Neodiprion lecontei: one gene and its partner. The protein of the gene in region 1 purifies or fractionates together with the protein of each later gene. This does not show direct contact. Links are inferred from orthologs where the notes say so. Each region holds a gene or a part of one and is shown in the gene's direction. Other genes may lie near its edges.

Region 1 (15,303 bases):
CTCCCAGAAAAAGCTGTACAGGTCACTGCCGGTGACTCGCATTCGGCGGCCCTCCTTGAGGATGGCAGGGTATTTGCGTGGGGGGCTTTCAGGGTTAGTTTCAAGTCTGCGATATAGATTTAAACGGCAGGACTGGAGATTTCAAATAGAGTTTAACTAATAATTAATGTTTGCCTTTATCATGTTTCAAAATAAGGATTCACACGGAAATATGGGACTTACACCTCGAGGAAACGAGAGGCTTCCCGTGGAGATATTACCTGGTGTAAAAGTGATTAAAATCGCGTCTGGGGCCGACCATCTTGTTTTACTGACAGGTAAAGGTCAGGTATATACCTGTGGCTGTGCTGAGCAGGGGCAGCTTGGACGAGTAGCTGCAAGATCAGCTGACCGACACAGTCGGTATGGGATTACCCATCTTCTAACTCCAGGACTAATTACCCTCAAGGCAACAAAAAAGCTATTATTTCAAGATATTTGGACAGGATTATACTGTACATTTGTGAAAGAATACCACCACGGGGAGATATATGTTTTCGGATTAAACAATTATTATCAAATAGGTGAGTTATGAATACCATCAAGCATACTGTGCCAACATCAATCTCTTATTAATCTATGCTCTTTTATTTTTTCTTTTATATTATTAATTATTCACACAGTACATGAAATTGTGTTTAAGGTCTTACAGAAGCTATCGTACATCCTTACCCTCAAGTTTCAAAAACCTTCAGCGGTCGTGCATGGAAACACATCAGCAGCGGTCAACACCATACTATTGCCCTCGATGAAATGGGACAGGTTTTCACCATGGGACGGAAAGAATATGGTCGACTAGGCCTTGGACCAAATTGCACAGATGCCAAGGAACTTGTTCCAGTTCCGGCTCTTAAATCAATTAAATGCATAGACGCGTGTACGGGAAGTACACAATCATTTGCTGTCACCAGTGCAGGTGATTGAATTGCTCATTTTACATTTACAATTAATATCTCTAATTACGACCTTGCATTGAACACAATTCTTAGGGGATAACTATTTTGCAACTTGCAGGAGAGTTATATGCTTGGGGGATGGGTAGCAGTGGCCAGTTAGGCACAGGGAAAGAAGAGGACGTCGAGACACCAGTTGTTATCAAAGGAAGACAACTAGAATCGAGAACTGTTATACGAGTAGCAGGTGGTGGTCAACACACAGTTATTTTGGCTATACCTCGACCAATCGAGGATGAAATCACTAATTAAATATGGTGATCTGACAAAATTCCGGTGTAGCTCTGTTAATGGCTCAGTTATCTATATTTACTATTGATTTTTAAGAAATTATTGAATGATTCGCAAGTTCCGTTGCCCTGGACAGTTAATAATGGAAAAGTATTTAAGGTGCATGTAATCAAGCGTTGGTAGCGTACCACGGTATGTACTGATACTTGCCCTCTTGCTACAACAATCAATTCTTTGTTTCCTCCGAGACAATTTGCTCGGTATTAAATATTTTCATACGATATTCGAGTGGCAGGGTCAGTATGAAACGGTAAAATTATGCTATGGGGTAAACATTTTTTACTGTCTTGTTCACTGTTTTGCCGCATCTATTACTCTCGTGGAGCTACACTGCCCAGAGTGAAACCCTAATCAATATGCGTCATGAAAGACTGAATGTTTTACACGGATTTCTGTAAAGATAGGAGCGATTGCACGCCAAAGACAATATTTTTTATTACAGCAAATCGTGCGATAACCGTACCTCGGATAATGCATCTACCTGTACCCAACGTTGTTACATATATCAATATACTGTTCACAAAACGTTACTGCACCTGTTTGGCTCATAAATTATTATACTCGACGAAACAAGAATGTTGTGACCTTTCAATGTCGAGCATTAAAAAACCATAATCAGACACGTTAATTTTATCATCAAGTTTAATTGCAGTTGAATGTCAAAGAAATACAAATTAACAGTATAATCCAGTAACGGATAATTAATTGAATTCTTATTTATTAAATCGGATAGAAACACAAGTTGCAGAGCAAAGCATAGTTTCTTCTAGATGATAGTACACGGACTTGGAAGAATTTGAAGAAAGTCCTGCTTATGGTGTAGAAATTGTAGAAAATTCAAAATTAAACTAGCGAAACAGATAGACTTGACATCATAAATATATTTTGATTTTATATGTCACACTATTATGGAAACTACTTAGGATTTAAACAACTAACTAGGTAACAATATAGAAGTCATTTAACTTCATCCCGTTTTAGTCTGTTCTATTTCTTTCGGCTTTAGTAAAGAGTCCGCATCCTGCATAGTCATCTGGGTGAGCATCTTGCCGATTTTCTCGTGGACGTCCAAGTACTTGGCGATGCATCGATCCAAGCAAACTGATTCACCCTTGCCGAGCTCTGCCTCAGAGTACTTTGGCGGAATGCATTTCCTATGGCAGGCAGACGTCATGCGATTGTACATGTCCGTCATCATCTCTATTTCTAGATCCTGGACTAATTTGAGCTTCTCTTCGTCAAGCTGCGGTAGACCAGCCATGTTTACAATATATAATAAACTAAACTTTGCTCAGGCCTCGACAAACTTTTCCGTCAGTCTATTCAAAGTTGGAGTTTCGTACACGTTCCCTCGCTTTCATCATTTCATAGCGATTCCGTTCTATGGATCGTTTGGACAAGACAAAAGCGTACAACCCTCCAAATACGGCGAATGTCCTGGAAAAAAAAAACTATATTTTATGGTCTGTCACGAGGAAAATTGGAGATGACATGATCGTTCACCAATGATAGCTGCCGCGAAAGAAAGCTGCTTACATGCATGCGTACTAAACGGGTTATGTTGTATAATCCAATACAAAGATTGAAAAAATTTGATATGAAATATGATGCGATTCTGCAAATGGCACATATTTCTGTCTGCCTTTTACGAAAGTGCATGCAACGTACCTACACTGTTACTTATTCGTCCATTTACATACCTACCATCCAATGCCGACTTTTGCCGTCTTCGATAAGGCCATGTCGGAATCCGTGATGATCCCTGAATGAAACAGCACCCTGCTGGCATGGCGCATGCATGCAGCGCATGCGATAGGAATGGGGGATATACATCGATGTTTCGACTATCGATGTTTTTTTACGGGAGCATCGACGTTTTTGATCGGTGTTTTTTAACGTCGATACATCGATAGTCGATGGAAAATACTGAATTGTCGACGTCGTCAAGTCGGGAATAAATTAAATTTGTGAGCAAACAATTCTCGGTAACTTATTTATAAACACGGAACACACATTACTAAGTTTTATAATAAGTCTGTGTTCTCTACCAAATGTTTCACTATTAATCTGTATATTTAATTATTTTACTTTTGCATACTTAATTTAATTTATATTGAATTCTCATACTTAATACTTATTTTTAATTATAATGAAAGTTAAAAATTTTCGCGTTCATTTTCCTTTTTACCATTGTAGCTAGAATCATTTAAAATATTCGCGCTTGTTTTCACCATCGACGTGTTAACAATCCATGTTTCGATGTTTTCAGAAGAACATCGCTAGTTCGATGATAAAGAATTCAAACACGATGCCGGTGTTTATTTTCTACTAAGATCGCCCATCCCGGTATGCGATACGCGAGACAATGTCGTTCATCCGAACTATCCTATTCAACGAATGTGCAAGGAGGGCGTGCATCGTGCCCCGTGCGATGAAATACGACGCGCCGAGCCGTCGAGTGGCGTCCTCTGGACCGCGTAAGATGTGCAGTAGAGCAGTTCAGTCGTAAGGTAAATGCAAAGAGAGGATAAATGGTAATGTAATAAACGTGCTCTAACCTACCTCTACATCACATCAGCTCGGCGCGGCTAGACTTTGCTTACGTATTGGTGGATATCCTGTCGCTAGAAAAGCAGAGAACCATTGTTTTCTTCTCCAGGTCGAAAGGGTGGCTGGGTATTCCAGCACTTGGAAGCCGAAAACGTCTATTTCTAGTCCGAAGCATAATATATCAATAGGTATATCCACCCTGCATAGATGTTCGTACATATTATATTAGCATTTACCGGGTTACAGTTGAATACAAAGTCTGCTAAAGTTCGTTTTTTGCTCCTCATAGGGGGTTGCGAAACCCGTTATGGTATTTTCAATGTATTTCAAGCATTGAATCATTTTGAAACAGTTTCATACCTGATATTTACTTGACTTCCCGTACAGACACTGCTGCAACACTCTTCATCTTCCTTTTCAATTTCAGAACAATACAATGTCCACGCAATTCCTAGGGTGTACCGTGTCGGTCAAGTGCGATGAGTCACTTGGCACTTACCAAGGCCAAATTGTCGACCTTAACGGCCAAACCGTCACTTTGACAAAGGCTTTTCGAAACGGGGTACCTTACCCCTCTCCGCAAGTTGTTCTGTCGTAAGTTTTAGATCATATCGGTGATGATTAGGTGTTAACGACAATATCTTTTACATTATTTAATTCTAATTTTATTCCCTTATAGTGCCAAGGACATACTTCATATAGAAATAATCTCAACAGAGGAAGCTGAGGATTGCCGTGATGAAGTTCAGACTTCGAGCAAAGTCACGGTGAGGCGACCCATTGCAAAACGAGCTGGTAGATCCGTTTCTGAATGCATTCCACCTTTGGTACTTCCTAATTCCGATATTCAACAGCAATCTAATGCGCGGAAACCGCTTGATTCTATGCAGTCACACCCAGAGCCTGCTGCTAATGGAAAAATATATCTAGGTAGGATTTCCTGCACTTTCGGTAGTAAAATTTTAACGTTTGTCAGTTGATATATCGTAGTGTAAAAGATTGTGGGATATACTTAAGTAAAATTACAATTCCGAACTGTTATTTCCAGGCGAGATAAGCACAAAAAACCAGAAAAGGAGTTCGCAACGACAAAGATGGCAGGAGAAAGATGAACAAGCCTTTGGAACACCCATAGATCAGTCGATGGAGCAGGACTTTGATTTTGAGAAAAATTTAGCACTGTTCAATAAGGAGGTAATTATGGCATTTCATAAATCTGATGTCTGTACTTTTCATACCTTTTCCCACACCACTTACAGCGCTATACAACAATTAATTAGTTAAATAAAACTATTACAGGCTGTGTGGCAAGAAATAAATTCCTTGAAGCCAGACATCGTTCGTCAGTCTGAAAACACCAGAGGAAGTGTACCAAAATATCGTCACGATGAAAACGTAATAGAATCCGAACCTACAGCATTCAGACAAATTGCAGTGCCGTCTGCTGGTATCCGGGAATATGTAACTGACGATGGATTAGTAATTCCTAGCATAACGGTCGATCTCCATCGTCAATTAATCGGTGCTGCTGATAGACTAGGTATTAGCTGGGATCGCAGGGTAAGTAGAGAAACTTGACAGGCCTAAAAACCACTTTCATCCAAACTATTCCGTTCTTTATTGTTCTCTGCAAAATTTTTAGGTCGAGTTACTGGGTCGTGCAGGAGCGGAAATAATTCTACAGCTATTGGGTGGTGGGCATAGACTAAACCCGAACAATGCGCACCAATGGCCAACGGTAGTCGCCCTGTGTGGACCCCACAGGTCAGGAGCTGCGGGTGTCAATTGCGCTCGCCAATTGTCAAGTCACGGGGTGAAGACTGTCGTGTACGTTGAAAATTCGGAAGACGTCTTCCTGCTGCAGGAATTGTCGTTGTACAAGCTATCGGGAAACAGGGTTGAAACTCGGTACAAGAATCTTCCCGCAGTAGCTGATCTCATTCTCCTTGCTCTTGGCGAGGAAGGCTCGCCAAGGACAGTTGCTCCCGTTGCAACATGGGCGAACAGCAATAGAGCACCAGTTCTTGCAATTGAACCCCCGTCAGCTGGGACTCCAGGAATTATGACAAAATTCAGTCTCCTTGGTGGATTGCCCCTGTCCCATAGCGCGGATAACGGAAGATTGTATCTTTGCAATTTGGCCCTACCTGCTAAAGTATTTTCGGACGTTGGTATCACTTACAGATCACCGTTCGGACCGAAATTCGTTATTCCACTTCATTCCAACAGCTCCTAGCAGATTCCTATGACGTTCATCACTTCCGTGAAGGTACCTTAGAATCGGCTTCTCTAAATCTGCCATTATGCGAACTGAAATCAACGACCCACGGATTATTAATTACTCGAACAAAATAATTAATTATCCAGTTTTTATCATCAAACTAGTTTAATATGTATCTAAATATCAACGCCCGCGATTGTCGCGTGTTCCGTACGCGTGTTTGTTATTTACGCGGTGTGTTAATTAAATCGACATTGGACTACTGTCCGTTTCTTAATTTTGTCATACGCTCTTTTTTAGGAGCGAATTTGTCTCACGTGACTTTTGTAATTACGAGTACAGTGGAACCTCGATTAATTGGGCTGCTCAAGACCGAAGAATCCACGAATAAGTGAAATCACGGTTAATCCGAATTATTAGTAATTTTCGATCGATTCAATAGTGACTGCCGAGCATGTGATGCAGTCTGTGAACTAAGGGTATTTTCACAAGTCCAATCCCTTTCCAAGACAACCGCTAATACCCGGTTACTCACGCGAAGCTCGGAGGCGCTCCAGAGGGTCACGGTTAATTCGCTCCCCGGTTAAACCAATCCCAGTTAATCGGGGTTCTACTGTATACCGTTAGCTAGTATCCATAACTATTAGCTTGTTTGTATTATTTTTTTTTTTTTTTTAATTTTGATAGCATCTAATCGTGGGCCACAGCTGTTATAGTTTCAGCGACCATTGCTGATTAGTTTGTCGAAGTTGTTAGAAACTAATAACAGGGTGGAAAAAACCTGTACGTTGCAAAATGAAATTTATATATTGTTTGGCTCACGCCTTGCAGCGTCAAGAAATGTGCAAATTGTTATTCGTTCCGTGCTCCTATTTAAAAAAATTATAAACTTGAATCACGTCCAGTTCATATATATATATATATATGGATTGAAACTTGCTTAAATTGTAATTATCATATTAATTAATTTATTTATATTTTATACATAGTTGTATATCGAGAGAGAGGTGCTGGGTAAGTACCGAGTGTTGATGATTCTGTCAACGGTCTACCATAAGTTGATGATTGTGTACTATTGTATAGCCATATTATTACGACGATGACTATTCTTATTATTAACATATATACATGATGTAAAATTGTACAATAGAAGATCAAGAATGCAGCAGTAATTGTATCTTATAATCTATTAACACCTTACAGTTTCGCTGTATCAATTTACTGTCATATGCATAATAACGTTCCGCGGTTGCAGCCGGCCAATAATAATCGGCATTTTCGTTTACGCGCAGGAAGTCGGCGGCCCGCGACGCAGCGTGAATGCGTAAATGAAACTACTATAGAATAAATTACTGCATATATCAATTACGTAGTTCATAATTTTCTCTACTTGGGCCTAGGTCGATTCGCGTCTTGTCGCAGTCAGGCGTGACCTGGAAAGCACGGTACGTTACGTAGTCGCGCGTGTACGTGGAAAACAAAGAGAGAACAAGGGGGAAAAAAAGGAAGAAAAAAAAATTCGTGAATTTGTCATTAATTATCATAATACTTCTGTGTTAAGAAAATCCTCAATACCGTCTCGACGCGGAGTGTATTAACGCTTACGCTCACGCGCATATAACGTATCATGTATGTTGTATACACTTATCATTACTCGCAATACGCGCCCGTGTAATATCTGTGCATATCTCTTGACTCTGTCGTCCATGAGTCGCGCACGACGGTGTTATCAGACGTTGATTTAAAGCAGCTCTGATGCTGTCTCATTCTTATCTATCTTCGAAAGTTTTGGTACTTTCGGGAATTACGTTTTCCGCGACAATTCATTTAATTTCACGTTTAACGTTACGGATCGGAATACTTGCCTTAAATTTTTGCACCTCGTTGCCCTGGCGAAATAGTTTGAAACTTAAACTCAAGGAGGAACAAGTATATCGCGTGCGCATTGCGTAGGTGTTGTGTGTGTGCGAAGAATAATGCGCTGATTAAGTTGAGATCGTGTGGGGTACGGCTAAACGAACAAAGAACGAGTAATTTCTTTCTCGTTAATTTTCTCTATGTAACATCGCGATTAAACCGCGTGTGCTAGCTGATAACGATCAACAAGGTGATCGCTTGATCGTTTTGATAAACAGCACCACTTGCTTTTGCTTCTTTATTTTGCGGGGCGAGCTTGGCTAATATTGGCAGAACGCGTTGTCTGTATGCATATATATGTATAGCCATTTCTCACAGTTGCTGCTTGTGTGTGGTGTGTGTCAAAACGAATAAAGAAACTAGTCTAAAAGTAACGCCGACGAGTGGCTCTTAACGAAGGTGCGGGAAGAAAAGTATTTGTATATACCTATAATGTAAAAATATGTAAAAATCGTCAAATTTTGTTGTTCGATATACGTAATTGTGCGCGCTAATTAACTTTAATCGGCTACATCCACCACCGCTGTGATCCGGGACCCCGATCCTCCCAACGCAACGTATAACGCCCGTAATTCTCGCCTCTATGCATCTCTATTCGGCACGTACAACGTACGGTGTACGTATAATAATAAAATACGTTGCAGGAGCGTGTCTAATACTTCGAGAGAAGAAAGAAAATAGAGGAAACCGAACACCAATTGCATACAAAGTTTAAGTCGAGTTATGAACGGAAAAGCTGCAGCCACCAGCCTGGGCACCTAGTCGATCCATAGATCATTTCTGTCCTTCGACGCGTTGCGATTCGGTTTGCGGATACCTTCTCGAAGATGCCGGCTACCTTGACGTACCCGATCTACGCCGGGATCGAACCACCGCCTCCTAGAAGACGAGCAAACACATGGACCAGCACATGGGTAGGACGACGTCGATCCTCGGCGAGCGCGCAGGAAACTCTCGCATCCCGAGCTGGAAGGCTCTCCCTTTCCGTCCAGCCCACAACCACGGTGAGGAAACTCTCTTTTTCTTCTTCCCTCCCTTGTCGCTACGTCCTGTAAGGATACGTGTCCCAATAAGGAAACTCCGTAGCATCATATATAACCTACATTGTATTACATTTGTATGCGTGGTGGGACAACATGCCTCTGTATATGTATACATACATATTTAAATGCTATATACCTACGTGAGCCAGATTATAAATATACGCAAAGTGAGAATTCTATGAGTCAATGGTGTTTTTCACTGGCGATTCGCTTGTTCGTACGTAAATGATACGAATCGCACATTGTACTGTGATCTTCGACATTTAAAACCGCAACCCGTGTCTCGCTTCGTATGAAATAATAAAAGTAACTGAATTTATTGGATGTATATGTATGTATTATGTACACATATAGCTGTTCCGGTTGGTTATACCATTCGATTTGTCGTATGCCAATTCGCTCGACCAACCAACTTTACCGTAAATCACGTGATTTCACTGATATCACTACAATTGAGACTGGGTGCGGCGTTAAGGGAATATCAAACTTTTTTTTACTAAACGTTTTAGAAAAATTATGCGACTGCATTTTTTTTTTTCAAACCATTTTTGACACCCATACTTATATTTTCTAACTTGAGGTACACAGACACTAGGGGAAAATATTAGTCGATGTTATTAGTTTACGGTGCTTCTTCTGCGTTTTGATAAGATTAAAGGTAATTCCCGCGGATGACCTCGAATGTTGTATTGTACGTACAAACACACGTGCAGCGACACTCACGGATGGTAATCACGGTCACCGAAGGCGCAAGTGTACGTATTTGAGTGTACGTGTACCTGCTGCGCACTGTAGACGGGCCAAAATCTGTTGCGCATGATATGAAAGTGCGTTAAAAAGAAATGGGAAAATTTCTGGTATACGCCAGATTGTCGATAATATGAAAATTGATGAATGAGAATTGAGCGGCAATGGGAATCATCGAAGTACCGTGTGCACGACCATTCGTAAGTTTCGCGGGGGATCAGAAAGGCGGATCATGACGGAACAAAGCTTCCGTGTTACTTTGATTATCCGAAGTTGGCAGCACTTGAAACGGCCGTCTGAACGGCAACTTAGAAAGTGGGGGTAATACGAGAACAGACTTCTTGATGGCAGATAATAAATTATAGTAATTCGTAATAAATAGAAAACGATCGTTTTTCTGGCGATTCGCGAACGTTTTTATTCCACGTGTTGTTAATGGCAGAGGAACATGTTTACGGATACAATCCGACGACCGGCGTCGACGGGGTGAGTCCTACACGATATTTGACAGTTCCCCTGACAAGTGGTCTAGGTTGGGTTCTTTCACGATCTTCGAAATCCGAGGTGTCCAGGGCTTTCAGGGTCTACCTGCCGTCGCACGAAATATCGTCGGAAAATATCCTTGTCGGCTCAATCGCGTCAAACGTTACGCTCCAGAGAGTGGGTCGGTGGTTTCCGGGAACTTGTGATATTTCCCTTTTCTCTTTCTCTTTCTCTCTATCGCCCTCTGTTTCTCTCTACACTGGTCTCTTCCAATTATTGTATGTATCCTTGTCGCGTCACCCTCCTCTAATATCTACCGATAATTCAGTCGATTCTAACGCAGCAAGGTCGTCCTGTTATTATCTTTCTGTACCTAGGACGAGGAGGCAACGAATAAGCTGAGGCTCAAGGTTATAGCTGGTCATCAACTGGCCAAAAAGGACATATTCGGTGCGAGCGATCCTTACGTCCGAGTTGATTTGAACAAGATCAATGGAGATGGGAACGTCAACTCAGTGCTCACCAAGACTAAGAAAAAGACCTTGAACCCAGTTTGGGAGGAAGAATTCATATTCAGGGTGAGTTTGCTGTAACCACCTTCTGTTGTGTCTGATAAATTATAATCTAACGTCAAATTGATAATGCAATGACGATTAATTGTGCATCTTGCTGTTGCAAAGGTCAAACCAGCCGAGCACAAACTCATTCTCCAAGTATTTGACGAAAACAGATTGACCAGAGATGATTTTCTCGGAATGGTTGAGCTGACTTTAATCAATCTACCCAAGGAACAAGAAGGACGCGTCATTCCTGCCAAGCAATATATACTTAGACCACGTAGGTGAGTAGCTGGCTGTAGATGTTTGTTTCGGTACGATTATCTCACATCAATCATATTATCTAATGGTAGATGCAAATTATATTCAACATCCACATGAACCACCGTTTTCAGAGTATGATACATATTATAATATGTTATCCATGTTGTTTCTTGATCTTTTACCAAGAATTGTGCGATGATAAAAATAATTAATGATCGACGACGTGGCTTAGCAATCATTCCAGTCAACGGTCGCGCGTTAAAGGCACGCTGGAAGTGTACCACGCATACATTTCGGACTCAACAGGGGAGAGCAGCAATGGCGAAGGTGAAACTGCGCCTGACTCCGGTGGTTGGGAACTGTTGGACCAGCCCGTTTCAACGTCTAATGATAGTCCTGTAGAACAAGCTGCTCCGGTTGGTTTACCTAATTTTTTCTACAAAGTACAGTCTTTCAGTTACTCTACAAGTAAATGAACACAAAATTTTGAATTGAGAACAGCGATCGAATATAAGATCGACCTGGGCACGGGAAATTCTTTAACAATGAGAAATAACTGTGATATTTCAATGCTCATATTCTTAGACTTCATCAATTTTGATTTACAGACAATAATGGTCAATGGGCCTCTGCCGCCTGGATGGGAAGAAAGACAGGACGCGAACGGGAGAACGTACTATGTCAATCACATAGCTAGATTCACGCAATGGGAACGGCCGACAGTCCTGTAAGTGAAGTTCTGTATGAATTCATCAACTCTTTACAAACCCCTCATACATGTCATCGTAAACTTCTTCTGTAACTGCCGTTCTTACAGACAATCGATTATGGTTATTTTCCAGAAATCAAGCACCAACGGGTGGTGTAACACAGGAGCAACGAAATCTAGATACCGCAGCAACCGAGTTCCAGAGACGCTTTCACATCAGTGTTGATGATGCAGAAAATAGGCATAACCGAAGCTCTGGCCTTCATCAGGTGAGAACACAAAGTGCAACTCACCTTTTTCTTTTGCCAATAATTTTGCCTGATAGAATTAGCAACTTGCTATACAGTATAACAACCTCGTTGTCATCCTACCTTACAATGGTTTGTTATTAACATTAGTACTTCTAAAATTATAAAAATAAAGTTCAAATAAAACTGTGGTGAGGGGTTGTATAAACGCAGCATGCGGTGTGTAGCAAATTGTGCATGTGTGTATAAGGATGGTGATGTCCCTCGAGAGGAGGACGAGCATGCGGAAGACAAGAATGACGAAGGTGGGGAACAAGGGGAAAGGGTGGTTGGGGATGCTTCATCGGATTCCGGTCGTTCAGTCGATCAGCACGGCTACCTGGGCGAATCTGATGATCAGGTATTCATCGTTCACTTCGAACCATATTACACATTTGCTTTCTTTGTGCAAATATCCGATTATCAGCTGCCTTCTTTCAATCACTTCTAATGCTTAACAATATCAATATATATCGCAATTTTAAATAAAAAAATTGCCAGTATATTGTGGCCTCACATCCCTGTGTATTTAAACATACATGCCGTTGTTTTTTCTGCGAGCAACGCCAGCCTTTTTTTTCTCGATGGTGGTATTTCATCATGCTCTGCAATTTTTGTTCCCAGAGTGAGGAAGCTGCTGATAGCCCGAATGGTTCCAGGCGATCCTCGGAACAGGTATACTTGTTTCTCCGTACATATGGATATCCCAATTTTCAATATATTTAACATAGGTATTCTGTATCTCTCTGTCAATTTTTTTTATCCAGATTGATGGTCCAGTAATACCAGCGGCTTCCCCGGCCACAGCTATAGCTCCACCGGCAGCGGCTGCTTCTCAGACACCGAATGGCGACGGGTTGCCTTCTGGATGGAGTATGCAATTGGCACCAAATGGTAGAATGTTTTTTATAGATCACAATGAACGAGCTACGACGTGGGTAGACCCAAGAACGGGGCGCGCCAGTCCTATGCCGAGTCACAATGCTCCGTCAGCAACACCAAGGAGTGATTTAGACCAGTTAGGACCATTGCCCGAAGGATGGGAGGAAAGAGTGCATACGGATGGTCGCATATTCTTCATTGATCACAGTGAGCCGTTTTACTCAAATTGCCGATAGCTGGATAACCTTTGAGCAAGATGATAATTATGTACACTGATGTAAATTACTTTGTTTCAGATACAAGAACCACTCAATGGGAGGATCCGCGAATGTCTAATCCTCAGATAGCTGGACCTGTAAGTTATCATTTATTTCTATGACGCTGAAGCTTATCTTATCTGTTTTATTCCGATTTGATTGTAATAATCGGGCAAGTATAGAAACTAATCTCGCGAACATTATACCTGAATTACAGGCAGTTCCGTACTCCAGGGACTACAAGCGTAAATACGAGTACCTGAAGTCACAGCTGAGAAAACCAGTGAGTGCATCAAAAATTACTTGGTTCATTCTAAATTGATGAATTGTTTTTAGTTTTGGACAATCTCGATGTAACTTTGGACTTGCTTGTTCATAGAACAACGTGCCTAATAAATTCGAGATCAAAGTGAGGAGGACGAACATCCTTGAGGACTCTTACCGCATCATTAGCTCCGTAATTAGATTAGAGATCCTGAAGACTAAGTTGTGGGTGGAATTCGAAGGCGAGGTCGGTCTGGACTATGGTGGACTTGCCCGAGAATGGTTCTTTCTACTATCGAAAGAAATGTTCAACCCTTACTATGGTCTTTTCGAATATTCCGCCATGTAAGTTATCGCGAGTTGACGCATTATCTGTCTTTTGTTAACTTGTTGATCTCTCGTTATAGGGACAATTATACTCTACAAATTAATCCGTTCTCCGGAGTTTGCAACGAGGAGCATCTTAACTATTTTAAATTCATAGGACGCGTTGCGGGGATGGCTGTTTATCACGGAAAACTTTTAGATGGTAATTATGGCAGGTCGCTACTTAATTACTCATTCAATCATTCCCAGTTTGGTAAAGCAGAAATTTTTTAACACTTACACTTCCTTCAAGCTTTCTTCATCCGACCCTTTTATAAGATGATGCTGAGCAAAACTATCGACCTTAAGGACATGGAGAGTGTCGACTCAGAATACTATAATTCCTTGCTCTGGATAAAGGAGAACGATCCAAGCGAGTTGGAACTTACTTTTTGCGTGGACGAGGAAAGCTTTGGTCACACGTCTCAACGAGAGTTAAAACCAAACGGCGCAAACATACCGTTGACTGACGAGAACAAAGATGAGTACATAAGTTCGGTTATACAATGGAGGTTCGTGTCCCGAGTCCAGGAACAGATGAATTCCTTTCTCGAGGGATTCAACGCACTTGTTCCGTTGACACTCGTTAAAATATTCGACGAACACGAACTGGAGCTCCTTATGTGCGGTATACAGCACATCGACGTTAAGGACTGGAAACAGAATACGCTTTACAAAGGCGATTATCACGCTAATCATATAACCGTGCAGTGGTTTTGGCGGGTGGTTCTATCATTCAGCAACGAAATGCGCGCCAGACTTCTACAGTTTGTCACGGGAACGTCGCGTGTTCCTATGAATGGATTTAAGGAACTTTACGGCAGTAATGGCCCCCAGTTGTTCACCATAGAAAAATGGGGGACCCCTGAAAACTATCCGAGAGCTCACACGTGGTAAGATGGTCGGCTTACGCCCACTATCTCGAATATTTATATCTGTTTTTCAGATATGTTTTAATTCGTTTTTTTTTCTTTTTTCTTCTACAGCTTCAATCGGATAGATCTGCCACCGTACGAGAGTTATCAACAGCTTAGGGACAAGTTGGTGAAGGCGATCGAGGGTTCGCAAGGATTTGCTGGAGTCGATTAGCGCGGGTGTTCTCCTGCGGCGCTTAACTGCGGTTCCATCACCGATATTGACTGTACTATAGTGCGTGTATATATTATAATGTATGTGGGAATGAATGAGAGGCAGTGCACGTGTGTATGTATCTACGTTTAGTTATTATAATAATACCAATTAATATCCAAGCTATATAACTGTTAACTGTATGCGATGCCTCAGCCGTGACCCGGTTTCACCGTCACGCCATGATTGGTACAAATACCATACCAAACGTGTTGAAACCTACCGCGTAGAAATTCGACAAACTTGAAAGACAAAGTAACGTCACGCGTACGTCATCGGGCACAGTTCGAATACTTTTCTTTTCTTTTTCTTTTTATCGCTGAAAACGTTAAGTTTCAATAGTAA
Region 2 (17,870 bases), on another chromosome or scaffold:
AATTTGGCGGGATCGTTAATTATCGTTTTATTAACATCGGATTCAGTTATGCGATTAAAATCGAAAAATTCATTCGACGATTTCGTCATACGTTAGTTTGATTATTCCACAAATTGGCTACACTGCATCAATCCTTACACTCCAACTGCGCAGCGGTTTATACAACTATCTTGGATTTCCGTTATATTACCTTCAGATAGTCATGGTGTACAGTTTAAGGTTAAAAAATTTCTGGCACATCTGTATAAGACCACTCCGGCCTGGGATGAACTTGTTGTGCAACGCACGGTGATGATCGACGCGTTGTAATATGCAGCGAACTTCGTCGTTCAGGCGAATCGATTGCTGAATAATCTACGCAACTGTTTCATCGCGCTACTTCCCTCAAATCTTACTGTCAAATCACAGAATTCTTATGCAGGCGAACTAGCTGTCTTTACTCGACGCGCTAGAATGAACTCGAATTATTGACGCTGTGGAAAATCTGCAGCCCATACATTATTCCGCATTATATTGTGCAGCGTTCATCTTCTATATATTCGTATAATCGATCGCATAAGCGACATGTTCAAGTCGAAGCCATCCGATATCCGTGAATACATTGATCCACATAGTCCACGGATGATGGATTTGATTCACCAGTCAAATAATAGTGCTCATTTCGAATTATATCGCGCGATGACTCGATGCTTTTTTTATTAAAAGCATATTATTATGATGATAGGAATTAATAAGCTGCAGAAAAATTGTCCTACATTCATTCGTCGCCATATTTCGTGTGACCTAAGCCTAATATCGTAGCAAAAATGATTTAAACTCACCAAATGATGATTGAGACGGTGACTGAAAATTTGAATTTGATAACTGATGCATTGTGGGTTCTATTTACACAACAGCCTCCACCAATCGACGGGCTTTACAAGTCACACAAGAATCTGTGTGACATTTTTGCCATCGGTAAAAAGGGCTTAGATCACGATCAACTGTAGGTAACAGTTTAAAGCGTGTTACCGTCGATAACAAGGTAGAAAATGTACCAGACTTATTGTTAAATGTGCACGATTATCGTTACAAGTTTCTTCTTCTGTTTATGGTATACAAACGTTAAAGATTAAATTAATATAAATTTATTTACAAAAAAAATTACAATAAATAAGTTAAATACATTGGTTCAGGTGTCGTGGATATGCTGCTCGTGGAGTGGCGATTACATTTCGTATAAATGTACATTATAAATATTTTTCGAAAATATATCTTAGATCATATTTTAAACTCACTAAGGGTATTGAGAATTATATACTAAATTTTTTTTTTGTTTTAACCGGGTTCTAATTTGAATTGAATAACAATTAATATTGCATTGGATTAACAACGTATTTCAACCGGATAAACGATCAAATTAAACGATTTTTGTACAGAGAATTTCATAAAAAATTCTACGTTAATAATGATAATCAATATGTCAAACGACATAATATATGCACGTTTTATTACTTGTACGTGTCGCAAACTATTATCCTATGTTGTGATTATTGATTGCCTTCTGCAACGTTTATTATGTATAATATGTAGACTAAAATTTTTCAAGTTCTAAATTTTGTTATACAACATTCAGGCAGTTTACTACACTTACTGTAGTACGTACTTTCAATCTTAATTATTACAATAGTATTTGATAGTAATGCAATTTTCAATTTTACGATTAGTATTAATTAGTTGTGTAATAGATGTGAGGCGAATTTTCATTATTTGTATCAAATAATTAAATAAACAGAATAAAAACTTCCTATTTTTTGGATCGGACTGTCAATGGTATTATACCAAATTGTGAAAGCATATTGCAAGAGTTTTCAAAGCCAAAGAATACCATTTCTTCACATTCAAATTGTCAACTTATAAACGATTATTCACTTAGTTTGATACTAGGCCGCTACAATTAGAACACTTACATTTGTTTCACAGCTGCATTATACAAAATTAATTCTAATTCGCTTACTTTAAATCGTGATAATTTCTATGCTTTACTTTACTTGCTATACTCAGAGTACTGCAAATTATCAAACTTTTTGAGCAAAATTGATTCCCGTTAATATTGTAAGGGAAAAATAAAAACAGCGCGAAATCTTTTTCCTTGTTCATAAAAACATAATAGAAAAACGAGGAAAGAAAAATAATTAAATCTAAACCGATTACTATGAGTATCACATATGTTGTATTAACTGTACCTATAATACCTGTTTGCTAAATTGTAGCCTTAGTTTTTGATTCAGATGTTTGTTCGTTTATTTTCTCAAATGATTTTGGCAGTCTTTTATTTGTGCCTCTTATCGGTATCGATTGTCTTCTGTATGATAAGCTTATTTCTCTGCCTGGTGACTTTAGTCGTAGGCTGTGTGCTGGGGGCTATCTGCTTCAAACCTTGCTGAGGTATTTTGGCAGGACTAGCGGCTCGCGGATGAGTAGATCCTTTTAGAAGACCCTCGACGTCGGCAAGCCTCCGTCTCAAGCTTCTGTTCTCCCTCTTACATCTAGCCAACTCTGAGTCCTTGTCGAGCCTGTCATGACCTGAGCTGCTAGTTTCTTCGGCGAAATGCCGGAACATCAGATGCAGCTTTTCTTCGTGTTCTCTTTGCATCAAAACGATCCTTCTCTCCGCTTCCAGCTTCGTTTGTTTCAGGGCGTTAGTCAGTGTCTGGATTCTCCACTCTTGGGTTTCTGCGTGAGCCTCTAGCTCCGCGGCCTGGATCTCCAAATTCTTTGAACTTTCTTTCAAGTCGATCACTTTGAGAAAGTATTTGTAAAACAGAGTTCTCATCTCACCGTCCGACAGCTTCATCAATCTTTCCATCAGCATTTGCTCACCTTTTTCCCTCTTCACTTGATTCTCGTCGAAACACTTCCTGCCGCATATCATTTCGTTTTTATGCTCAATCATTGCGTCAATAGCCTCTATCGTTTCCCCACATTCAAGCAGTTTTCTCTCCTCTACTATCGTCAGTGTTTTTTCTTTCTGTAACTTTTCATCCAGATCGCACTTCTCATCCACTAGACAGTCCCTGGTCCTCCTAAGATTTCTTATCTCGTGCCTCAGGGCTTCTTTCTCATCCGTATCAGCCGTTCTCTCCAGATCCATTGATTTCTCTTTCAAAACATGGTCCAGATGTGAAATTCTTGCGCTCACTTCAAGCAGGTTTTTTTTCTTATCGGAACAATCGTTTTGCGACTTTGAATTCTTTCTGTCATCTTCACTTTCGGACTGTATTTCTTTTAATTTTGAAGCTGTTAAGTTGTACTTCTCCTCCAATTCTCTTATCTTTCTCTGATCCTGGACTAGCTCATTTTCCAGCTGCTTTTTGTGCTCGTCTTCTTTTTTCAGCTGTCTCTTCAACTTCTCCATTTGCTTCTTAGACGAATTTAACGAACTCTCAAGCTCCAACACTTTCTTTGCAGAATCGCCAGCAATCTGTTTTATCATCTCAATATCCATCAATCGTTTCTCATAGTGAATTGCCATGTGTTTGTATAATTCAATTTCCTTCTTATGCGCTGATTTATCCTCGGTATCTTTGTACAACGAGGCATTTTCTGCTTGAGCAAGTTGCGTCCTAGTGTTATAATACTCCTCTTCAAGCTTGCTTCGTTTTCTCTGAAACTTTTGTTTGGCGCTTGCTCTAGCTTCGGAATTCTTTATCATATCAGCTATGAACTGTTCCTTTATTTGTATCGTATTCTGAAGTTCTTCTATGCGTTTATGCGCCCCTTCCAAATCCGACTGAATTTTTTTCACCTGCGTTTGCTTCGCCTCGTTTGTGAGGGTCAAATTTTTCAACACTTTGATCGGCTCTGGATCTTGATCAGAATTTTTAATCGTCTCGATCAACAAGTCCGGAGAATGTGTTTCTTTCTGTATTTTAACGACGTTAACGTTGTTGTCAAGTCTAAAATCAACTTCTCGATTTTCCAGCGTATTAGCAGCAATGAGTGCTGACAATTGGTGGTTAAAATTAGTATCTTGACACTGTTTGTATCCACCGTTGAATGCCAGTACTCCATTGCACATATCTGAACCCGGGAGCATTGAGTTTCTCCTGGAACTAGGATTTCTGATAGGAGTTGGCTTAACTATTGGCAAATAGTCGTTACCGTTATTCAGAGATTCTGCGGCAGAGGTATCAATGATAATATCCATTTTTCTGAACTCATCTTTTTTCGAATCAATGACATTGTCCGTATCGTTTTTAAACTTATTCATCAGCTCGTCAAGCTTGTCCAGAAAATCCGGATTCTCAGAACTTATGTCGCTTTCCTCTTCGGACAAATCCTCCGTCTCGGAATTGCAGCTACTGTCAGACTCGTTCCTGAACTCTCCACACGTCGCAGACTCGTCTGTTTTTTCATCGGTTTCAGTCACTTCTTCTATTCTCTCCAAAGACCTTCTGGTAACATCTGCGAACCCCTGTAAACTCGCCGTGTCGTCGCTGGCTATGCATTCCTCGTACTCCTGCTTCATGCAGAGCCATTGCTCTATCTGATCCTGTTCGGTATGGGGCAATATGTTGCTGGTCACAAGTTTATTGAACAAACCTTCCGCGTTTGAGACCAACTTGGACCATTGAGTAGCCGCAAATTCGAGCCTGAATAAGTCTGCACTGGAACTTCGCTCTCCGGATGTCCCAACCTCGATGTCCGGTGTTTCCTGAATCTCCTCGACCGTGTGCTTGAGCTCCTCGTCCTGCTGTTCCCTGGGATGTCTGAAAGCCTGTACTTCCTCGATGTACTGATTGTAGCATTGCCGATTGTCCAGGATTCCCTGATGATGAATCCATGGACCGTAATGCATCATATCGAACAGCTTCTGGGGTTGGTAAGGTCAGAATGGACTGAACTTTACAATCAACGTTCGTGACCCCGTTTAAGAGATTCCTATAACATTAAAACGAAAAATAAATATTGAATCCATTGTAGCCGTGTCAACGATATTGCATACTTGGCGTGTAAAAACGGGTAAAATTTCAAGTAACAAACTCATTAATTATAGCAATACAAAACGTTTGCTGTGTTGGAACGTTCTTCTAATGATTAATCTGAGACACTGATATAATGAAAATGAAGAAAAACTTACAGGTTTAGCGATACCCATGTGTCTGATTTAACGGTTTAGAAATATCTCTGTGGGTTTTTCAAATTCAACGCACGTTTACTGGACACGGTCGAGTTTGCACTGGTATGAAGTAAATCATTTTCGATGGAAACCGCAGATCGTAAACCCGAGCCACGTTGGGGGTTAAATTTACCGTGGAAAATAGAATTGCAAGATCAAAATCTGGTTGTCGTGATTAAAGAGAGTCATAAAAATCTATTCGCTATATGTCGGAATGACGAAGTAAATCCACGGGTAAATCAATAATATTTACTACAGGCAGAGCCTGCCTGTTTTTTCGTGTATAGGTGTACCGTATATTGCCGTATATTACGTTTTCATCTTGTTGGTACACTTGGTGATTCTCGTTCTATCACAGAGAGAGCTGTTCTATCCCGTCTAATTTCTGAATTGCGTAGGGTTGGTAGCGCCGCAGACAGTCAGTCATCAACCAATCAGAATCGTTGTAAAGATGTGTCGAAAGGGCTGAAGCTGGCAACAAATGGACCGCGTGCCGCTGCGTGAGTCACCGAGTGTCGACTGAAGTTGTGCGAAGTTGTCGCATGGACGTTGCGAGAGATGTGTTAACTGTAATTGCGAATGTGAGCTGTGCACGTGTGTGTATAGAGATCCGTGAATGCTCTGTGGTTAAAGCGATGACCTAACGAAATTTCCCATCGAGTAGAATCGGAGTGATTTTATTTCTGATTGACAAACGTAGCTGCGGATTTACGTAAGTCACAACATACTACACAGTTGAGAGTACAAGCAATACGCAATCTATACGTAAGTAATATGAAACGCAAGTATGCCTAAACTCGATCACAACGAACTCTCGCAATCGAAATTATGTATTTTGATCTCGCGACGAAAAAATGATTCTTCAGATCCAAATATCACCTGCAAAATAGCTCGAGCTAGTTGCAAACCTGGCTAAAGTCGGGAAAAACCAAAGAGAATAACAACATGTTTTAAAAATATTTGACACATGTGTAAATCAAAAATAACGATAAATCAAATCGACAATTCGATTGATTTTTTATTTTTCTTTCTGATTATGTATAGTTCTCACAATTTTGTGATCAATATTTCATCCCTAACAAACTAATGGCAAGAATAACCTGATCGTTATTTTATCTTCATCGAATACGTAGGACCTTAAAAACACCGGATTGTAAAATTTATCGGTACGTATAAAGCATTGTCGTTTACGATCTGCTGCACAGCTCAGGTGGAAGGATGCACATGCAACAAGAAGGATGTGTGAATACTATAGAGAACAGTGATGTGTGCATATTTGCATATTTTACAGGCACGCATCAGTGACATTATTAGCTGCGTGCTCACGCAATTTTCATGGAGCCAGAACGTTGTTTCGCTGCATGTTTCTCATAGATGCGATCGGGAGAGCATCGAGAGTACGCGAAGCTCTACTGTTATATCTATGGTTAAACCACATTAATCTGATGCAACGTGTTCCTGGTATAATAACGATCAGGTGATTCGGTAGTGCCGTAATTTCCACATTCGTAGGCATTTTTATACTTACTAATCAAACAGACCGTCACTTATACGATCTCATTTCAAAATTCAATGGCCGAAACACAAAGAAGATAATTTTATCTACAGAATTTTCATATTTTACAATATGTTCCTTGTTGACTCATGCTGAATTTAATCATATTCAAGGAAAAGATATTTTTAATAAGAAAAAAATTCTTTGAAATATACGCCTTTGCTGACGAATAAGTATTATTAAAATTAATCATGATTTGCTATTTTTACATTGCTTGAAATGCAGAGAGCATAAATTACATTTAAAAACTACATATAGTGATTATTTTTTTTCATTTCAACCTTGTTCTCAATAGGCGTAAAAAAATGGTATCTTAGTAATACTGTGTAATCTTTGACTCAAATTGAAGGTTTGAAGGTGAAGATTGCATTACGAAAGCAAACCGAAAGCACTTCTTCAACTTTTTAGTGTATAAGTATTTGTATACACAGAATTCTTTCCTCACAATTTCTAACGACTTTCTATTCACACTGGCTCATTCATGAATATTCATGACAAATAGTGTGTTATGTACGAACCATATAAGCAAACTATAAACTTAACAGTAATAATGAATTTTGTTACGTATCAAGAAACGAATTTAAATTAAGGGCAGTTTGTGAATGACTGCTGAATATATGAGGTTGAAGTAAGTAATGTTAACGTTACAAAACATCAAGAAGCAAATCATTATTTTTCCATTTTAGAATCACTTTCAAAAAGTTGGCTTTTTTTTGTTTGATATAGTATAGTTTATTAAATTTCGGACAATTCTAATGGTGCAATTAAAATTCTTTCCTAAACATGCGTTAATTGACTTCCACCACACCTGAATACCCGTTTAAATACATACAAAGTAGAAACACCTGTTTCAAACCCCATAAAATTGAAGTAACAAACGTTTAAATTGATTCTAAATTTGTAAAATTGAGATTTCAAAACTTATTCTTTCATTCTAGATTTGAAAGGAATAGTGATGACAACGGCCAATAATTGAGATTCTTAGATCATTACCGACATGCATAACTATCTAATATGCTCATAGTATAAAGGCAGAAAAAAAAAACAATACATGCATAAAATTATATAACATTACAAAAATTATATGGTATGCAACTGCAGTCAAAAAGATAACCACTACCTTGTTTACAGAAAATGGAGAAGAACCACCTAATGGGAAGTGGATTTCCACCACCAACTGCTCCGCCCTCGTATGACGAAGCTGTTGCCAATACTGCGGCAGGTCCTCGCCTTTATCCTCCACCTTCTTCTGCTCCGTACCCAACAGTCGACACAGCGATGCCAATGCCTGGATCTTGTATGTTTCCACATTATACAATAGTTTCAGTCTTCTCAATTTAGCTTATTTCACTTTTCAAGCTAGTGAAACTTGTTCCATACTTGAATAGTACGAGTTTTTAATTTGATGACATATCTAATACGAAAATTTTAATAAACATACCTTAAGTAATGCCTGAATTAAAAAGAGAAAAAGACTATGAATGATATATGATTGTGAATGATGTACGTTTATATCGATAGACAGCATTAGAACTTTTGGCATAAGAAAAATTCTCACAACACTTGTACTGAACAACGATGAAGCTAAAAAATGTTCAACATCAATGATGCACTGCTACATTGTTTTTTTGCAGATAATCCTCCGCCAGCAGCCATGCCAATGCCGATGCCAATGCCAACGCCAGAGACACAAAGCCAACCTCAATCATTTCAGCCACGACCTGCCGCTCCCTATCCTCAACAGCAAAACACAGCTCCACAGTCTTACGCGACACCTGCTCAAATACAAGTTGTGCAACAAACAGTTGCTTATGCAGTTGGACCAAACCCACTAAAAATGGTGTGTCCTAATTGTCGGGCGGATATAAAAACAACCACGGTATCGGAAACTCAAGCGAACGCTCACATTTGTTGCATAATTTTATGTTTACTCGGGTAAGTTTTGGACATTTTAACTGTGTAAGAGTTACAGTTGCTGACCATATCCTGTATATTATTCACGTTTAATGCTGCCCCTCAAAACTGAGCTCGCTTTATGAATTTTCGTCAGTTTGATGCAATGATTTATTTACCAAAGCTGATTTGTTACATTTCAGGTGTTGCTTGTGTTCATGGTTGCCATATTGCAGTAATGCCTTTGTGAATGTTCACCATTCGTGTCCCAATTGTAAGGCTTACATCGGAACGTATAAGGCTTGAATTTTGTGATTGTCACAATAGTCAAGTTTAACCTTGAAGTAATGGAGTAATTATTCTACAGTTACAGATCGAGGTGAAACCTTGGTCGTTTTTGACTAGGACGAAAATGTTCTCTTCTTTACATATTCGTATATATTAAACATTCACTCACAGACGCAAATATTTTTTTTTTTTATACAAATTCTATGAGAGATAGATGAAACGTATAATTTTATGATCCCAATTATTTCTACAATTGCTTACCCTTTCAATGAATGTTTGTAGAATTCTTGAAAAACGTTCAGTTTATGCGAAACACATTCCGTTGATTCTGAAACATTCTTACTTCATTGCCATGGGGAATATTAACAGGTTGATTGATTTGATCTGAGCTTTCCTTGTATACATAAATCCTCGTCGCTAAGAATTGAGAGTCAAGAGAAAAGAGTGTTATTGACATCTCATATGCCCTATACTCACTATTATTACTGGACATTAGGTTTCTTGATGTAGTCGTACTGAAAAGAGTGGTGGTTCACTGTACAGGAACACAGAATTTTTGCATTCTGGTAGCTCATTACGTTTCACTATGTGCATAAAATCAAACTCATATGATACTACTTCCATTCTTTATAATTCTTACTTTTTTTTTTCATATGTCAAGTAAATGTGATTATCTTGTTTTATAATATTGCACATAAATATAGTATAGTAAAACAATATTATAAAACAAGATAATCATATATATATATATATATATATATATATATATATATCAAAAAAGTATTAGTATTCGAAGAACACCGTATTTTCGTTAAGACCGAACAATTCATGCTTAGGTAAATATAAAGAAAGTAACCATTGAAAATGTACGACTTTTGCTTTGCTCTGCTAGTTCATAGGTTTTGCACTAGATACTTGGTTGTGAAACATTTACAGGCTTTTTTGAAAATAAGAGATTGGTAAATAATATACCTGTATTACGATGTTGGTTGATAATATGGTGTTTGTTGACGTACTTGCAAATTGTCGCACCATACGTGATACGTTACGCGAAGATCTGATTACAAAAAAATATTTATCTCTTGACAGCATCTGTTCAGCTCACGGAAATATTTCCACCTCAAATTAAGCCTCCGCCAGCAAACATAGACGATATCGTCCATCCTGACCTTCTCACTTATCGCTGTCTCGGGAATTTTTCATTGTTTAACAATTTCTATTCATTAACTATTTGAAAATTTCGTAATGTAAACTATTGGAATATCAAGTAGGCACCTGAAACTGATTACCTGAATCTTTTGCAAACTTTTGAAAATCTCTAAGTGAAGGGAAAAAGAACTCGTGTGACGAAATCGTTGATATTGACTGACGACATCAGTAAAATAACACATGACCGGCGGAGGGTTAACGAGTCAGATAGAAGTGTGAAAATCACATGCGTGTTTAGTCGAAAATTATTCAAAGGGCTGTGAGAAATTGAATATTTAGAGAGGAAGGTACGACGTGGTCTGTGTACCCTGCTGTTATTTTTCAAAGAAACCTTTATTAAACATAAGTTTTATATTTTTATATTATGCCTTTTTCATTGTTTGTATTCAAAAAGTTTGACAAAAAATATTTCAAATTATTAAATTGGATACGAATATCTAAATTGCTTGAAATTAGAAAGTAAGTACGTATGTATACATATATAATTTGAAGATAAAGAAAAAAAAAACTACCCAATTTGGTCTGAGTTTAATTTTTATTAAACAACAAGCCATTGTATCTACGTTATCATCAGTTTTCCATTCATGATTTTCGACTTCCTTGATCAATTGTGTAAGTTTTTATTTTTCTACTTCAAACGAGATATGTAACTAAGTGTTCAATGCTAGATATATAAGTCTGCATCAATAGGTGAAAATTTACTTCGTTAAGATAAAAAAAAAAAAAATCAGACATACGAATAATACTGTAAAGTATAAGTTAGACCAACCTTTGATAGTGCGTTGAAATTACTTGCAGTTTAGTAATAATAATCACGCCAACATTTATTATCGACCATGAGAGATTAATAAAATATTATTATTCATATTGTTTACTACCCACATGTAAGCTCTAACTAAAACTGTGACACAATTATTGCGCTAATCATTCTGTTCACGTTTCAATTAAGCATTAACGGTTTGGTCCTCAATTCAGGACAGAATTGACGTGCTAAGAAAAGGGTGTACCAAATGATGAAAACGTATTTTATATACAATTAATGATAAGAAGATATGACCTAGACTGACTGAAAGTCTAGTAAATCGATGATATTGTCTGATGATTGCGATACGAAAGAGAAGGGAATAAATGAACAAATTACACGATCGTAATAGTTGGGGAATATCTGTAATAACAATATTTATTGTCTGTACACGGCCAATGGGGTATTGGAAATACCTGATTTTTGTGTATAATCGGTAGGTGTACATAATCGTCATCTTGTTAAATAAATGAATATATTATTTAATATAATATTAATTCTTCAGTCGCAATGTCTTGACTAAATCATTCCCTCCAAATTATTTCTATATTTCAAACTCATCCAGTTTTATTTCTTGTTTTTTTTTTTATTCTTACATGTTTCGCATTTGCTTTCGAATTTACTAATGAAACTTGATACGAATACGCAAAATGGGGTCACGAAACAGTGTCAGTAGGTACGAAAATTCAGAGCTGACACAGAGAAATGAAAGCAGTCAATAACGATCCGTTGCGACGCATTTAATTTTGACCTTAGAATAGAAACAAATTTTCGACTATCAGTTGCTGATTGCGGCCAAATCATTGAGTGATTCAAAAATATTTAAAACGTTTCATCGGTGATCGCCGTAGTGCCGCGCTACACATGCGGATGTAATAAATACATTCATAGATATCTGACTTATGTATAAATTTCGGAACTTCGAAAAGGTTATGTCACTCGTGCAGCAATATGGCGGCGTGTGAGAGTGAAGATTTTCACAAGGTTTTGGAGTATAGAATTTTCAAATGCTCCAGCTACTCGTCGACCTATGTACCTGAGTAAGTATTTAAATTATCGACTCCTTTGAATCAGATAGAATCGTCGTGTGTCATCGAGCTGGCATCTGCCCACGACACGTAGAAATTTTACTACGCGTTCTTAACCTCAAACGAAAGCATTTTCTGTCAAGGACAACGCGTTCGGTTTCACTTAAACGAGGCTATTCACGGTCTCAAGGCCGAGCGGCGCGTGCAGGGTGAATAAACGGTTCATTGACCTTATTTCCCATATTTTCAGGAATATTCTCGTAGACGTACCGTCGGATCAATCCTCTCGCTGGTCCTCTGACAATGACAATCATCCTCAGGTATTACGTGCAGTGTGATAACGATGATTTACTTTCTCTATTATGCAATCTTAGCTTGATTTAAACCTACACCCTTAGCTCTTTGTAACACGAATTTCTTTACTCTTCTCCTGTTGCAGTTTCTCATTCTCAAACTCCAACATCAGTCCATCGTCAAAACTATCACGTTTGGTAAATATGAAAAAACTCATGTTTGTAACATCAAGAAATTCAAAGTTTTTGGTGGACTTGAACCGGAGAATATGATGGAGCTACTAGAAAGGTGAGATGCTTCCTTCAAGCATATTTCAATTAGACAACAAACGATTCTGTTTTACCTAAACTCGTCTTTCACGTCTCGTTTTCCTTGCAGTGGTTTGAAAAATGACTCTACACCAGAAACATTCGACCTCAAACATGTGGTCGGGAATGACGAGAACTATTTTCCGATTAAGTACCTGAAAATTCTTCCCCTGCAATCCTGGGGCCCCAGTTTTAACTTTTCTATCTGGCATGTTCACCTCGCGGGAGTCGATGACCAGAAACTTGTCAAAAGCAGCATTGAATGTTTTAACTCTGTATGTATTTCGCTTTTCACTTTTTTAAGACATCCTAGAACATTTTGTCAGATGCATTCAGCTAATTTAGGTACCTAAGTTAAAGTACAACTTTCCAGTAATAGCAGGTTAGACAGCAGCATAATACCAACGTTTTTATTCCACTAAACAAGGTGACTATGAAACCTTAACCGTAGATGTCCTTTAACTATAACGGAGTATTGATTAAGCATAGTAATTTTCTAAAATTTGCTCATTTTAAAAATTATTGTCAAAGATTCACATTGTTTACCCTCATCTGGCTTCTTGTTGCTTTAATTTATTTGTAACTAATTATTGTAGTACCGTCAGAAAGAGGTGTTACGACTGTGTATGAAACATTTTCGCCGCTTGGAATATCCGGAAATTGTCAATACTCTTCAAAGAGTTACTGGGGTGAGTCTTGAGGATTCCAGACTGTCAACACTGTATGATATATTGGTAACCAAGGGGGATCACTGCCAGGCAGAAAGATTCATTAGCAACGCTGTAAACAGTAAGTTTCTGGTATTTATCAAGGTTATTCAAAAAGCAATATTTAATTAAAAAATTTCATCCTTCATCCATGAAAACTTGGTCATTTTTCGATTCAGTGGGACTTTTCAATGAGTATATAAATGCTCAGGCTTACCGAGCTATATGGACAAAAATATTTTCCAAGGATCCAAAACCTGGAATGAGGGGTGGGCATCAAATGGTTTTGGACCCATCGGCGGAAATGTTGTATCTGTTCGGTGGCTGGGATGGAAATCAGGATTTGGCTGACCTTTGGACCTATAATGTATCAACTGACAAGTGGCATCTTATTTGCAAAGACACAGAAGCAGTGGTTAGTCAATGATCACGGTCTTGCGATATCAGGTTGTAGGATCTGCAACTAACATAAGCTATATTTCAGGGTGGTCCTACCGCCCGGTCTTGTCACAAAATGTGTTTGGACCCAGAAAGGCGTCAGTTGTTCACTCTGGGACGGTATTTAGACACTCAATATCGCTCGCCAGAAAATCTGAAGAGCGATTTTTACGTTTATGATATTGAGTCTGATAAATGGACACAGATATCTGAAGATACCGGAGCCGTCGGTGGTCCTCAATTGATTTTCGACCACCAAATGTCAATGGACGTCGCTAAGAGAACTATCTATATTTTCGGTGGACGTGTTCTTGTGCCATCGCATGTGTGAGTAAAACTTATATTGAAAGTGAAAATGAAAATTTTGGCTCAGATTAAATAAATTCCAATCAATTTTTCAATCTATCTTATCACTCTGCTTCCTTTAGGATTGAGGATAACCATGGAGTTACACCAAACGTGACAGAACCAGTATTTTCTGGATTGTATTCGTACCATGTGCCAACTGGGACCTGGAGTAGGCTCGCTTGTGATATTGCGAGACCCAGTCCGCCTAATATACCAACAATTAGGTCCAGAGTTGGACATTCCATGCTATTTCATCCGGTATGTCACTTCTTGTTCGTTGGATGTTGTGCTCCTTAATCTTCGATAATACGCATCTAATTCATATGCCCAAAATAAATAAACTCGTAGCTACTTGTCAAACAATGTAATTGGTAATAAGTGGCTCTATCATTTATAATAATGTAAAAAAATTTCTAGGAATTCAGAAAACTATACATATTTGCGGGACAGAGGAGTAAAGAGTATCTAAACGATTTTTTTACCTTCGAAGTAGACACCGAGACTTTGGAACACATCAATCTCAGTGACTTGGGAAACCGGGATTCAAATCATGTTCCCGCGGCTGGTTTTACCCAGAGGGCTACTATTGATCCTGAACTTGGCGAGATTTACGTTTTATCTGTAAATACGTAACAATGTTCTTTTTCTTTATGGCTCATCAATTGGTTTCAGCTATTGGTGATTACTTAATATTAAGAATCAACATAAAACCTCAGCGCTCACAGATGACTCTTACTTACAGGGTCTGAGCAAAGACAAAGAGAAGAGAGACGACAATGTTCAAAATTCTCTTTGGGTCTACAATATTAAAGAGAACCGATGGTCTTGCATATATCGTAATGAAAACGTTGGTGACAAGTATTGGAATAGTATGCAGGATTACGAGCCTTGTCCTAGATTTGCCCACCAGCTTGTGTACGATCATATTCAAAAGGTGAGCCACGCTGATTAAAATAGTCAAGGTGAACTCTGATTGCTTTCAGCTTTGACCGTTACTATTTCATTACGTTTCATATGCCGCAGGTCCATTATTTATTTGGAGGAAATCCGGGGCGCTCTTGTCTGCCAAAATTGAGGCTGGATGATTTTTGGCAGCTGGAACTCTGTAGACCCTCTCATGAGCAGATTTTGAGGAAATGCAAGCTGATAATAAGGAAGCACAAATTCGAAGAATTGGCTATGAAAAATAGCATCGAGGCTCTCGAGTACCTGCAGACACAAGTATACGAAATCATCGATCATGCCGATCCGGAGCAAACCAAAGAGGTATAAATCGTGTTTTAGACATAATTTAGACGTTAAAAACGTCAACTATCGGCTATCTCGTTTTTTTTTTCTATTTTGCAAAATATTAAGCTTAATATAGTAGTGATATTTGTTGTATCGTAGTTTCAGTTACTGGCTTCAGTTCTTTTCCGAGAGCAAGAAAGAAGCATGGATAACAGTTTAGATCTGGATCCAGCATCCAGCACTAGTTCCAGTGATCGAATTAATTCAGTGGTGCCAAAGAATTTTACGATGCACGACATCCACGCTCGCCGTACGGAATTGTTTGACAAACTTACCGAATTTTTTCCTGAAAGTTTAACTCAGCCGCGAGCAAATCTTATAGACCTTTTGCCATTGTGATATTTTTAACATGGTTAACGTACTTAAAAGTTATACTAATTTCGCGATTTTTTTTCCAATCACACACCAAAATCATACTTAGCCTATGTTTTCTTTATTGTATGTATAATTCAACAGCAACAAATAACAGACTGTTAGTCTTTTCGTTTAACAGGTATAATATCAAAGTCACGTGTTATTTATAATATTTTATTTTCATATTTAGCTCGTATAATTTCGTTTCAATATTACTACCGTGTATAAAAAATTACGACCAGTTGTAGTTCAGTTCATCATTATTTTTATACATACGGACAGCGATAATGATAACGTTTGATAGATTCGTTTCTGCAAGTAGTTTTGAAATAATGCCAATAGTCGTACTTTTTTTGATTATTTTTCATGAAGACTGTAATATTACATTTTATACGATTGTTTGTATCATTATATTTAACTTTAGAAATTTGGTTTAACTCTCTTTATTTATCAACTGTATCATCCTGTTATTCATCTCCGGTTTTACAATTGATTGAACTGTACGAAAAAAATTTTTTTTTCGAAGCCCGTACCTTTTCTCGCAATCAGTCAACGTTAATTTGCCATTCTACTTTATATTTTACCTTGTATTCGGTGTATTCGTTATTTTTAAAATGCATTGAGGAAAATACCCCAGTTTTTTTTTTTTCATTTTTGTCAGATTACATTAAATGAAACTTGGACCATTCACATGTTTGAAGGCAATTTTATTTTTACTTTCAATAGATTTTTATTTTTACAATTGCGAATTATTATTGTTGTTAATACTTGTTTACTTTTATCATTTTGTTCGCAACCTAAAATCTCTGTGAATTTCCGATTTACATGCTTGTAATACTGAAACTATAACTATATAGCAATTATTTGCCTCTCTGCTCTTTGCGAATTGTTATTCGTAATACTTGCTTAAACCTGAAGTTCATAATACAATGATCTACAACTGATAATATATATTGTCTAGATGCGTATTTATATAAAAAAGTTCTAAATTTACTTTAAATATTTAAGTGTACAGTGGTTTTATTATTGAAAATGATCTTAAGCTTCCGCTTGCCATAGTAATGAGTTGTTAATAGACTATTATGAATAAGCTCTAATAATAATAAAATAACAAAAATACAAATAATTAATATTTTATATTGCGTAGCTTTGTAAATATTTTTCATTAAGTTTTCTGTCGATATCGATTCTCTGTAATGTAACTGACATAATTTATACAATAATACATATACATATTATATATGTGTTTGTATATGATCACAATCTAACGATTATAAGATAACGTTAATGTGTATACAAACGTTAAATTTTTGGCATAATAACGCACTTTGGCATACTAGATAATCATACATCGAAATCTGTTACATGTCTCATCCAGATATTTCGTACTTTGAAAGGAGTAAAGCGAAAAATTGAATCTTTCATTATCCACCACGTGGCTAGATTGGTGGTTTTTTTTTTACACCTCCAAGCTACGACACATTATTTTTATGTAAATGTGTGTTGTCTATTAAACTTATCCATCGCTGTTCAATAGTAGCGCGAAGTAATTATTCACAATTGCATGGATTATACATGTAACGTAATTTCTACTTTTCCACAATTTGAAATGTTGAGAATTTATTCTATACTATTTGGGGGCATAACAAATGCATCAAATAGTGGAATATTTTTTAGGAAGTGGAATGTCTCAAGTCCAATTAATTAATACTTCATGGCCAAAAACATATTCATTTCCACAGATATGCTAATTTCGCACCTAAACAAACCATAATACTTAGGTGCTGTAACACACCTAAGCTTGAATGTTTCCTAGAATGAACGCGATTTCTTTTTTTAAAAATATAATGCTAGTTATGCGATGAGATCAACTGAAAAACGATCTGCGTATTGAATGGTGCATTGGAATATATATATATATATATATATATATATATATATATATATCTTAATACAATCTTAATACATAAAAGTTTCTCCATTTCACACAATATGCATGTTCTATTTGCACACGTAATAATGAAAGTGTGAAAAAAAAAATTAACATTTCTTCAAACATAATACAATCCATACTACGTTGGATATATATCTTCGGTCAACATATACTTTAATGTTGAGAAGTTTATAATCGTTGAAGTTTTTGTACAAAATTTATTATCCGCAGTAGTGGTCAAAGAATTCCTCGAAGTGAAATG

Evidence for each region.
Region 2: the proteins of E3 ubiquitin-protein ligase Nedd-4 (region 1) and lipopolysaccharide-induced tumor necrosis factor-alpha factor homolog purify together in Homo sapiens (affinity purification with western blotting; 3 studies listed by BioGRID and IntAct, counting the BioPlex papers as one, with this or other methods). This does not show direct contact. The link is inferred for Neodiprion lecontei from reciprocal best matches to the Homo sapiens genes NEDD4L and LITAF.

What each region holds. Positions count from the first base shown.
Region 1 is NC_060266.1:25,976,429-25,991,731, forward strand, and holds the start of E3 ubiquitin-protein ligase Nedd-4, read left to right. Parts: upstream 1-8,798; coding exon 8,799-8,975; exon of another isoform or gene 8,976-9,020; intron 9,021-9,154; exon of another isoform or gene 9,155-9,710; intron 9,711-9,844; exon of another isoform or gene 9,845-10,196; coding exon of another isoform or gene 10,197-10,247; intron 10,248-10,260; exon of another isoform or gene 10,261-10,522; intron 10,523-10,621; coding exon 10,622-10,822; intron 10,823-10,924; coding exon 10,925-11,085; intron 11,086-11,297; coding exon 11,298-11,481; intron 11,482-11,673; coding exon 11,674-11,792; intron 11,793-11,907; coding exon 11,908-12,043; intron 12,044-12,272; coding exon 12,273-12,422; intron 12,423-12,685; coding exon 12,686-12,736; intron 12,737-12,828; coding exon 12,829-13,150; intron 13,151-13,239; coding exon 13,240-13,298; intron 13,299-13,417; coding exon 13,418-13,483; intron 13,484-13,579; coding exon 13,580-13,809; intron 13,810-13,871; coding exon 13,872-13,993; intron 13,994-14,083; coding exon 14,084-14,723; intron 14,724-14,816; coding exon 14,817-14,919; 3' UTR 14,920-15,303. Other genes in the region: regulator of chromosome condensation, read left to right, coding at 1-93, 197-563, 683-955, 1,054-1,244; mitochondrial import inner membrane translocase subunit Tim10, read right to left, coding at 2,251-2,544; enhancer of mRNA-decapping protein 3, read left to right, coding at 4,270-4,427, 4,513-4,763, 4,882-5,027, 5,133-5,393, 5,476-6,069. UniProt on the Homo sapiens protein: E3 ubiquitin-protein ligase that mediates the polyubiquitination of lysine and cysteine residues on target proteins and is thereby implicated in the regulation of various signaling pathways including autophagy, innate immunity or DNA repair.
Region 2 is NC_060260.1:37,751,373-37,769,242, forward strand, and holds lipopolysaccharide-induced tumor necrosis factor-alpha factor homolog, read left to right. Parts: upstream 1-5,735; 5' UTR 5,736-5,873; exon of another isoform or gene 5,874-5,926; intron 5,927-7,847; 5' UTR 7,848-7,850; coding exon 7,851-8,013; intron 8,014-8,350; coding exon 8,351-8,651; intron 8,652-8,812; coding exon 8,813-8,915; 3' UTR 8,916-10,858; downstream 10,859-17,870. Other genes in the region: kinesin-like protein costa, read right to left, coding at 2,312-4,843; muskelin, read left to right, coding at 11,860-11,948, 12,187-12,256, 12,376-12,518, 12,609-12,813, 12,918-12,965, 13,135-13,327, 13,425-13,660, 13,730-14,010 and 5 more.